Linked DNA regions of Coturnix japonica. The protein of the gene in region 1 interacts with the protein of each later gene in a pairwise test. Links are inferred from orthologs where the notes say so. Each region holds a gene or a part of one and is shown on either strand. Other genes may lie near its edges. The genes, in order: THAP1, C14H7orf50 and transcription elongation factor A protein 2-like.

Region 1 (3,665 bases):
AGAGCAGAGAAAGTAGACACAGGAAGATCTGGCTCTTCACAACTAGGACTGACCATCACATTGTTTTGGGATCGCAGCAGAAGGGTTTGGTGATGTGATGAGCCAAAATAAACAGCTCTCCCAGCTCTGTTATGAATCCTTCCCTAAATACAGGATGTTGCTAAGATGACAGAAAGCTATTCACACTTCCACCATCGCTGCAATAAAGTTCTGTCCTGCATTAAAGTCAAAGCCATGCAGTGAGAGCTGTCATATGGAAGGAGTAAGAAAATAGGACTGGGTGGCTGGCAGATGGGATAGAGCAGAACACTAAGCGAGCTCATTCCCACATCATACTGCAGGCTTCACCATACTGCTCCAGATAGGTTCAGACACTTGCACGGTTCAGAACAATGCATACCTGTCATCACTTGGGAGGAGGTCAAAGAGAATTCTGATTATTCTGCCCCAGAGGAACATACTTTATTCAGAAATGCACACATAATGTATACTACCCGTTTAAAAAAAAAAAAACAAAAAAAAAACCAAAAAAAACCCAAAAGCCTAAGAATGTCTCAGTGAAAGAGACACTGAAACCGATTTTTTAATTCCCTGTCCCCAACATTATTACTACAAATAAAAGCATGAAGATGATCGCATCTTCAATTTTAACAGCCACCAACTGTCCCCTCTTGAGACTGGAAGATCACATTATTAAGCTTCTTGCCTTAACATAAAGAACAAGTCAACAGTCAGATTGGGAAGTACAGATGTCATCCTTGTACAAACTACATTAGGCACAGGAACTGAGAACACAGTTCCACTTCTGGTACTGAGGGGAAGTTTCACATTGCTCAGGTATTACTGATCACTTTAAAGTACAAAACCAGCCCACTGCCTGTGTCAGTTCTCAGTTATAAGAAGTGGATGCTCCAGGTGTGTCCATCTAAATCACATACCAATATTCTAAAATGTCTGACCTACAGCTTTCAAACTTTTCAGCTAAGATGACAAACCAAAGACATAATGTGCAGAGAGAATTCTGCCCATGTTAGAAGCACGAGCAAAAATGGCATTGTTGCCAGACAGCTGCATTCAGACAGAGGCATGTATTCAAGAGCTACGCAGCACATGCTGTGTTACTGCTGTCACTGTGTGTCACAGAGAGCTCATCGTTCATACTGCTCACACGTCACAAGTGAGTTCTTATTCCTTCTTACATCCAGTAAATGGTTGTCAGACATAGCTAAAAAAGTATTTCAAGAATTATGATGCAAAAAATGCTGTATCTCAAAATCAGTATGAATTTAAAAAAAATGCTGTCCTTATTCACTACTATTCAATGTCTTGAAGATACACTGAAAGCTGCTGTGACATAAATAGTAGCACCACCAACTCCTTTTCCATAAGGAGCCACTGTTCTGTGCACTCATAAAGCCAGGTACTGCAATGAATGAGAGAATGTGGCTCAGAACTACTGCATTGATGTCAATATTAAATACCTTCAGCTTTCACACTGCAATAAGTTTTGCAAACAATTTTAAGTGACATAGGAAATATGTTGCTAAGATTGTGGGGAACCGTCATCAAACAGATCTTAGCACAAAAAGCAGACCTGAAAATGGTCCACATTTCACTTTATACCTTGTGCTATGTATGGTCTCTTGCCTATTATTTCCACTTTTCATTTTCTAGATGTTCCTTCTTTATTTCTGCATTAAATCGAACATTGTATACTGTGTGGAAAAATACAGATGATGCCCTGAGCATGAGAAAGGGTTTATGTTAGCTCTGGAACACAAGTAAACTGCCTAAATATGTTCAATATTCAACAGACAGGCACTAGTTTTATATATTGTCAGTGGTGGCCAACACATACTCTGGAAGATCAAGAAAAGTGGCTAGCAGATGGTGCTCTGAATTATAACACAATTTTGCAGTTAATGCTATTTTGTAGGAGGCTGGACTTTTTGGGTTCTTTCACAGGGGCATCTGGATAGTCCTACCTGTAGCCATGACTTAATAGCTCTGGACCTGGCTAACTAGAACAAGACACCTGATGTGAAGCTATAACATTATGCTGATGATTTAATACTAGCCTCTGCAACTCTATCTGCAATAAAGAACACAGCAAGCACTGTCTTCTGATTTACAGGAGAAAGAATGGGCCATCAGTCCTGAAAAGTCCCAGGGCCTTGTATTATCTGTCATATTTTTGGGATGGTCTGATTGTGAACAATCAAAGCCCTACCCAGTGCAGTTAACACCCAGATACAAATGTCAGCCTGCAGTTGTTACAACAGGACAGCACCAGTAACACAACTGCAGTGATGACAAATGGCCTTAATGACAGGAGAAGCTGCACAGTGCATTTCGGCACCTGGGGCTGTGAGCAGTGTGCGCTTACCTTTTCACTGGGCTCAGTGTAACAGAATATAGTGGGCACAGCATTTTCTTTCAGCAGCTTGTTGTTGCACTCCCGCTTGAAGCAGTCGGGCGTGAAGTGCTCGGAGCAGATGCTGCTGTACTTGGTGGGTTTGAAGTTTTTCCTTTTCACCGCCGCCTCCCATTTCTTGCACAGGTCAGGCCTGGTCAAAGGAAACCTGACAACAACAGCTATTTTCAGCGTTTCTCAAACTCTTTATTCACGCCGGGCCCACCATCCCAGCCCCTCTCCCGCCGCCCAGCGCCCCCTTGCGTCGGGAGGTCGCACACCCGCGGCCCTGTCCCCGCCCTGGCGCCCTGCCCGCCCCGCCCCGCCCCGCCCCACCCCGTCCCGCCGCCCGCGCTCACTTGTGGAAGGAGATGGGCTTCTCTTTGTCGTATCGGTTCCGGCAGCGGTAGGCAGAACACGACTGCACCATCCCGCCGGCCCCGCGGCCGCCGCCGCCCAGCGGCGCGAGGAGGGGCTCCCAGGTGCCGTCCGCTCACCGTGGGGCCGCCATCGTGCCCCGTCCCCCCCCGCCGGTGACCCTCCGAGAGGGACGGCAACGGGACGCGGCCTCTCCCAACTCCAAGATGGCGGCACCAGCTTCAGAGCAACTCTCGCGGTGCTACGGCGCGCCGCCCTTGCCCATTGGTGGGTCCTCTCATGGGGGGCGGGGCCTCGGGAAGCAGATCGTCCAATCGGAGCGGCGCTCTGCCTTGCTCCCGCCCCTCGCTCCGGAACTACCTCAGGGGCAGCTGCGGCGCGGCGGCAGAGCGCCCCCAGGGCGGGATGGGGTGCGGGTGTGTGTGGGCTGCTGGGCCCTGCTGAGGTGTTAGGGTGAGCTAACAATACACCGACGCGATGGAGTACAAAAAGTTAACGCGGAGTGCGCTCCGCCGTACCATTCCCTGTATTACACCAGCGACTAACAGCAGCGGGCCGTTCCCCCGGAGCGCCCCATGTCCCGATCTCGCTGTCCCGTGCGGGGCGGGCAGCGGGCGCTGGTGTCGGGAGCAGGGGTGCGGGCAGCGCCCTATGGCGCACCCACAGCGGGAGCAAAGGGCAGGAGCCGCGCGAAGCAGCTCCAGGATGGGGTCCGGAACCCCTCAGAGACACAGGATGGAGAGAAGGGCAATAAGCCGGTCTATAAGCGAGCGCCGAATTCGGAGCGCGGCCCCTCGCGGAGCCCCGCGCAGCCCCTCTGAGCCGGGGGCCGGCGGCGGGGAGCTCGGGGGAGGCGGCGGCGTTGGGGCGGGCA
Region 2 (3,651 bases), on another chromosome or scaffold:
ATGAAAGACGCCTATCAATGCCCTTCTCCAGCCTGACCCAGGTTGAAGCTCTGCTTCCATCCTGCAGCACGGCACTCCTGCACAGTGCCACGTCCTGCAGCCACACCATTTCCCCACCCAGTGCCAAACTGTCTTATTTCTGTGCTCTGAAACGTGCCCTTGCTTTATATCATTGTGGTAAGCATCTTATTTTCACTTACTTTCTTATTTTCTGAGGGTGTCTCTGACATTCTCACCTAAATTTAAGGCAGCAATACAAAAGCAGCCTCTGCATAGGAAACTGAAAACACGATGCCCTGGGAAACACCCCGGTGACACTCAGTGCTGGTAGCATATAAATCATGACAGAGAGAAAAGAAACACACTTCAGCAGCTTATTTTTCCAGTGTAAGTATCTGGTAGATAACATTGTAAGGCTCAGGTAATTCACAGCAATATCCATACAGTGCTGTTATCTGATCCTTCTACAAAAGATATCAGCTTCCACGTGCTTCAGGTGACACCTATTCTCATTTCTATTCCTATGGTGGGTGATGCAGAAATCCATACGTGCAGATCCATATAGCAACAGCTTGCTGAGCTAAGCATGGGAACAGAAACATTTCTAGAGGAGAGTGACTTGCCGAGGCAAACAAGTTCTGCCAACATTTTAGCACCACGGAAGGTCAGTTGGGTTATAATTACATCTAATTAGAATTCTCATGAATTGCAACATCTTTTCATTTGAAGGCACTTATTGCTTTAAAAGGTATGACACTTATTTCCTATTTTCTAAGAATCAAAGAAAGGAGGCATTCTGACCTTGCATTTAGAAGTGAATCATCCTAAAAGAAAAGAGGAACGTCACTGTTAAGAGGAAAAGCCCTGTACAACCACCAGCACCCAGCTCTTCCCTCCTGCTTCACTGTTCCCTTCCTCCTGTTCAGCACCACTGTTACCTTTTCCAAGCATAATTCCTCCTTTTCTTTCCTCCTTTTCAAGAGGAGAATTCCTCTTCATTTCATCCCACAGAGCAGAAAAGATGTCCGTGCACTCTGAGAAGCATCACCTCTGAATAAATGTCTGACCTACAAAACAAGCTGGATTTTCCCTTGCATGTCGAAAGTCTACTTGCAGTAGAACTCTTCCAGTGAATTACTGTTCCCATTTTCCTTCGAAGGTTATCAAAACTGAAACAAATTCCCGATAAAGCTGAAGCCTCAGTTGTGCTCTCGTGCTGTGAACAGTCAGTCTCTTAACTAATAAAAATGGCTGCCTTAATTATTATATGGTACTTCAAGTTCCACCTGTAGTGCAGGAGATTCACTTGTCATCGGGGAATTAAAATGCCACCTCACTTAGCGTTATTTAATGTCAGGTTTTCTGCTGTAGGTGGGGCAAACCATAAATCCACAGCAGCCTTTTGTTTACCTCCCATTGCACTGCGGTCCCGCATCTGTAGGATGAGCTCCATGTGTCATTCACACCTGCAGCCCCACAAAACCAAACAGACTGAAATCCCTGACCCACTGAAGGAGTCAGGGCTTTTACAGTGGGCTCCAAGGACACAAGGAAGTCACAGGACACACAGGGCAGAACACACCCTACGGTTACGTTCATTTGGCAGTTCAGCATCTTACTGCTATCCCTGGTAAGCGTACAAAATTCAAACCATCTGTTGCTGACATAACCCCAGACAACGTGCTGCCATACCCAGAGCTGTGGGGCTCTGCTATTACAAGCCCATGCTGTGTTGCCAGCATACTGCTCGAGGTCATTTGGTGCAGGTTAAGTGAAACACTGCAGTCAAATTAGTTCAAATATAGTTTCATACTCTCTCATCTAACAAGGCACAAATCCATACAGATAGAAGCAGAATATCAACCCAAAAGCCCACAGCTTGCTCCTTTGCCTTCCAAACCTGAAAACCATTATCTCTAGATCCGCCACTTACTCGCACACATACCAGAGTAGAGTTGGAGCAGATGGTTCAAAGATAACTGTCAATCCATCTGCAGTTCAAAACAGTGGTGAACCATTCCAGCTGTTTTCCAGATCAAAACTATTATTGTCGTTTTGCTATCTCTGCGTGCTGAGGGTTATGTAACAAAAATGCAGCACATGTCCCTCTGCCTGGAATGCAATTAATTTCCTCCCTCCCCACTGAGAGTGGTAAGTAACAACTCAGACAGTCTGCATGCTTCAGTTTTAAGCGTGGCCAGAGATGCAGCGATGGAATGATTCCCCGTGGTAACCCACTGCTGGTATCACGCCAGCCCTCTGCAGGTTTTAGAGACAGGGTCTATTCTGTAGTTCAGGGAAAAAATAAATACTACTTTCCTGCTTATACATGACCTCTTACTGTCTGCAGCGTACCATGAATGCTTTGTTTCAGCTATTTTAAACATAGATGTTGCTTTATGTTGGAATTCAAAGTATTCTAAATCAGTATGCTAGCTAAAGTAATTGCTTCCGATCCGAAATAGGCCACTGGACTCCCTGTATACTTTGGTATGCAGAATTAAGGCACCATAAACTATTCACTTTAAAATGGTGGCATAATTGTGTCTTACTTTACAAATATCCAAATATCATGCATTAGGTTAAGTGAGGACTCTATAATGCAATATGCTTACATAGAGAGAACACCCAAATCTCCTTTGTTTAAAACAGCGCACATAAAACTAGTTCAACCTCAATGCAACCTTTTCTATAATATGCCCTTCATCTCTGTGAGTGCAGCTAATCCAGGGATATTTATATATCAGGTACAGGATCTCTGGGACAGGAGCTGTCTGTCTATAAAATGTTTGTGCCGTACTCAACATTCTTCAGTTGTTACTGTGCTATACATAAAATGAGGTGAAAGGGTGTCAACTGGAATGAAGCTTTAGCTTATTACTTAACTGCACCACTTTCCTCTAACACTTTATTTCTTGGTTCAGCTTGTTCAGGATTCCTGGCATGGTTTATAGTTTGCTTCTGCACAGAGCACCTGCAGTGCTGCTCGCAGCATTACCTGGTTAAATAGGCCAGAGCCAGTTCAGATCCTGACAGCTTCTTGGGTTCTGCTTTCTTAGTAGAGATTCCGGCTTCTCTCATCAGCTTTTTTTCTTCTTTCTTGCATTCTTTTTTAAATTTTCTTTCCAATTTCCTCCTTTCCTCTGGGCTAAGATCTTCCTCTTCATCTGCTGCCTGAAACAATAAACATTTAAATCAAGTGATTCTGTTTCTATAACAAGGTGAACAAAACATTCATAAATGCAACTGAAGGGAGGGCACAGTTAATATTTTAACCCAGCAGCTTCAGGCTTCATAATTTTACCATACACCAATGTGAAGCTTCTACACTGTTCAGCTCACAGAACTGTAAATGCTGCTCTTGCAGAAGTCTGCAGAGGCCTTTTCTGTCCTCTATAGTTGAGAACACCCATCTCAGCAGTACAGCAATCAAAGCAAGCACTTCCTTTGCTCGGTACTAAACATATTTCCAAGATTTATTGTGCTGTTTGTGCTCTTGTAATAAGAAGGGATATGAGCAGCAGAGGCTGCTCACAGTGGAGGGAGGGTATGGAATTTTTTAGCACATACACATGTATATGGGAATAACATTCCTTTAGGACTGGGACTGTAAGATCACACTGTCCTGGACTGAGAAAACCTCTGCCTTCC
Region 3 (3,651 bases), on another chromosome or scaffold:
TTGCTTTTGGGGTTGAAAAGAGCAGATTGCTCTGGGAACCCATGGATATTGTGTGTCGTCGTCATTATTTTGACTTTGCTTATTTCTGATTTCAGCTGGTAACAAATAACGTATCTGTTCTTGAATAATTCACGTGCATGTTCACTTGCAGTCCACCCGCATTGGTATGTCAGTGAATGCACTGAGGAAGCAGAGCACAGATGAAGAGGTAATAGCTCTTGCCAAATCACTCATCAAATCTTGGAAAAAACTTCTAGGTAAGAAAATCACTTTCCTATCAGATTCCACTTATGAAGGTGCTGGTTTCAGTGGGAGGCTGGTTTTATCAGGAGGACTTGTGCATCCATATAGAACATTATAGCAAACCAACCTTGACAATTGCATTGGGTTTCATCTACTGCCATGCAAACTGGTTGTTTGAGATCCTGTTGTCAACCCAATAGCTAGTTAGCTGGAAAAGCTTCAGAACTATTCTAATATGATAATGCAACATTAGTTATAGAAACAATATCTGTACTCTTAACCTGACTTGTGTGCTAGGTGGCATTCATACAGCATGTGCTGTCAGCCTCGTACCTCAGCTTAGAAAGAGAAATACTGGAATGGATTTTGGGTGATGACTTGGAGAAGGATCTCAGTTTAACAACTTGCAGACAAATTCACATTGTTTTCTGCTGGAGGGGCTTTCATGGTGGTTGGCACTGAGCAGAAGCGGCAACTGGCCTTTCCACATCAGAGCTGATGCGTGTTGGCTTGGCTCAGACAGTTTGCCTCTGGATGAAACTAGTTCTACAGTGTAATGAGAGTCATCTTCAGGGCTGTGCTCTTGGCTTTCAGCAGCACTTCGGAAGTGCAAGACTCCCAGAAGGACCAGCCCTTAGTGGCCCTTCAGATGATGTTGGCTTGAAATACTGCATGTGGTGACACTTGAGAGAACTTCATCTAATCTGTACTGGGCACTCAGGTTCTTTGAAAGGAACTTTTGTGATGAGTCAGGTCTTGTGAGGAAGCTTATCTGTTGTGGAGGGAAGGTGACTGATCCCTGCTTTCTGGTTCAGTAGGGAAAGGTTTTGTTTAAGTTAGCTTCTTAAAGGCAAGGAAGAGGTCTGCATGCAAGGCTATAAAAGCTTTCTTCGTCATTTTAAAATTCTTTTTGTAGATCAATTTGCCTTGGGCCAACTCTGTGAAGTCATTGCTTAGTATATGCAGGGTTGCAGCATACAGAGCAGTTCTGAACAGTGATGCATCCAAGTTTGCTTTTTCTTTTTGTCCAAATTTAGATGCTTCAGAGGAAAAAAGTGAGGAGAAGAAGAAAAACCTGTCCTTGCCAACATCTTCCTCAAAGGAAACTGGTAACTCAAGAGACCAAAGGTAATGCTTCCCTTTAGTTGGGGATGATACTGTTATCTAATTTGAATATTTTCTTAGCATCTTACTTGAATTTTCACTTTTAAGTATCTGGGGATTTTTGTGTGCATAAACTCCTGGTCAAGGCTCACTAGGAGTCTAGGCTTCCTCAGAGGTGAGCTGTGTGGTGTGTTTAATACCGAACTGTTATGCAGACAGGTATTCCCTTCTCCAGGGTGTGGACAGGTGAAAGATCTGTTGTAGTTTTAGCAGGGTTAGGAACTGAGTTAGTGGTTGAGGTAAGAGCTTTTGAGCATCCCCATACAGCTAAAGGGAGGCAGCTGGCTCTTCTGTGTAAGGCCAGGAGCTCAGGTGGAAGCACTTGCCTTTCCCCTTCCCCAACAGGCCCAGCTGACAAGTATTACAGAGTTGTCTGTTTAATTCAGGAAGCAGTACTGCAGTTGAAAGAAAAAGGGAAACTTCAATGGGATCTTGGCTGTAGGTAGTGAGACAACCCTCCCCTTCTTTCTTGGGCAGATGGTTGTCATAGGATGTGTGGAATGGGGCCTCCTGGTTTGTACTGCTACCCTTACACTGTGCCTTGAGGGTATGCTGCAGCTACTGCTGGTTTTTCCCTTGATCCTTGTTGTATGTTCCTCCACCAGCCTTTTGAATGGCAAAGCATCCCCTTGGTTGGTGAAGGATAAACAGAAGCAAAGGGAGGAGCTTAGCACAGATCCAACATAGTGGTGAGCTCCTGATGTCAGGCTGAGCCAGGTGCTGTGCAGAGTGCAGTGCTTATTCTCCTGTGCTGCAAAATGAACTGTTAATCTGCCTTGGAGGAAAAAATACATATATATTAGCAGCAAGGAGTTCTTGGCTTTGCTTTTTGAAGTGTAGGCTGTGATGAAAGGAGCCTGACTTGCTTCTCAGTGCATGCATGCAGGTTCAGATGAGGCTGCTATCAAAGCACCAGAGAGATCAGCTTGTATTCAGATACTTCAGCCACTTATTTTGATAGATTTTGGCTACACCTTCCTCTTCTGTCAGGGAGAAAAGCCCAAATAGCTCTTGGCTTGCAGTTTCTCTTACTTTCTGGAGTACAGATGTAGCAATCCCTCTGTAGTGACTGGAGAGCTAATGCTGCTATAGACCTGCAGGCTCTGAGCCAGCCAGCATGGGGCTGGCACCTGCATGATTGCTGTATTACTGTAATCCCCTGTGCTGTAGTACGTTCAGCCATTACAGTAGTACATCTTAATGGACAATGTCTAATGTTTTTCTGGCAGCTTTTTCTGGGCCTCTCTGAAGCTTTTATTGGGAAGTTTTGGATCTGTGGCCTTAATTCAGCTCTTCCGTGAGATTTTTTTCTTCCAGTTCAGCCCTGAGTTATGTTTATAATCCCTGGCTGTTGCTTTGCACCATTTGGTTTTAGCATAGATGTTTGTTTTTTGTATGTGCATGAACTTTTGTTGTCTGGATAGATTTACAAGCTCCTTCTCCTGTTCAACAGGAACAGTGTGAACCGCAAGGATTTCCTGAAATAAGTCTTCTAGGTGTGTTTGAGGTCTATTTCCCACTATTCTAATTATAAACTAACTTTTGAAGCTTAATAAATAGCTCTCTGTCCAGCTTTTGGAACAGCTCAGGAGCCTGTTTGGTCTAACTCAGGAGTGATCAGTTGTTTTTTCTCTTGTCATATATTATGATTCTATATGCAGTGTAAATTCTGTTGAGTATTTTTAGCTCTTTGGACACCTAATAAATGTGTTTCTTAGGAGCTTGTTGCAGTGCTGACCGGTAAAACTAGCTAGCAACAAGTCTGTATTCACTGGGTAAGAGTGTAAGTGAGCTGACAATAGAATGTTCAAAGTGCTTTTATTTCATCTGAGAGAGAAATGAATCTTCCAGCTCTGCTTTGACTCGAACAGCATGCTGAAGGTACATGGTGGGCCCTTCTGAATAGGGCCCAGTGAGGTTCTGAGCTGTGGCAATCCAGCAGCTCTGATGATGATCTGAGGGCTTCGAGGCACTGCAGAGCCAGACAGGATTTTGACTTGGCAGCAGTGGGATCCCTGTGCTCAGTTCCTGAGGCTGTCTGGCTCTGTGCACGCAGCTGTGGGTTCAGAAGGCTTCCAGCTCAGCTCTGCCCTGCTGTGGGCTAACTAATCCCTTCCCTGGCAGTGCAGTGGAAGTGCTTGTTGATGAGAGATTTGTCAGGGCAGAAAGCTGGCAGTAGTGTCCCAACTTCACAGTGATGTTCAGCCCCTTGTATCTAAAGGAAACATGGCCAGCATGGTGTGA

Evidence for each region.
Region 2: the proteins of THAP1 (region 1) and C14H7orf50 interact in binary tests that used the Homo sapiens proteins (3 or more experiments, as listed by UniProt). The two-hybrid records come from large-scale screens. The link is inferred for Coturnix japonica from reciprocal best matches to the Homo sapiens genes THAP1 and CHLSN.
Region 3: the proteins of THAP1 (region 1) and transcription elongation factor A protein 2-like interact in binary tests that used the Homo sapiens proteins (3 or more experiments, as listed by UniProt). The two-hybrid records come from large-scale screens. The link is inferred for Coturnix japonica from reciprocal best matches to the Homo sapiens genes THAP1 and TCEA2.

What each region holds. Positions count from the first base shown.
Region 1 is NC_029547.1:47,539,673-47,543,337, forward strand, and holds the start of THAP1 (THAP domain-containing protein 1), read right to left. Parts: upstream 2,885-3,665; 5' UTR 2,844-2,884; coding exon 2,773-2,843; intron 2,583-2,772; coding exon 2,387-2,582; intron 1-2,386. UniProt on the Homo sapiens protein: DNA-binding transcription regulator that regulates endothelial cell proliferation and G1/S cell-cycle progression.
Region 2 is NC_029529.1:2,396,093-2,399,743, forward strand, and holds part of C14H7orf50 (uncharacterized protein C7orf50 homolog), read right to left. Parts: intron 3,175-3,651; coding exon 2,999-3,174; intron 1-2,998. UniProt on the Homo sapiens protein: Hormone secreted from the intestine in response to cholesterol, where it acts to inhibit cholesterol synthesis in the liver and VLDL secretion,leading to a reduction in circulating cholesterol levels. Acts through binding to its receptor, GPR146.
Region 3 is NC_029535.1:8,417,466-8,421,116, reverse strand, and holds part of transcription elongation factor A protein 2-like, read left to right. Parts: intron 1-151; coding exon 152-257; intron 258-1,280; coding exon 1,281-1,371; intron 1,372-3,651. UniProt on the Homo sapiens protein: Necessary for efficient RNA polymerase II transcription elongation past template-encoded arresting sites.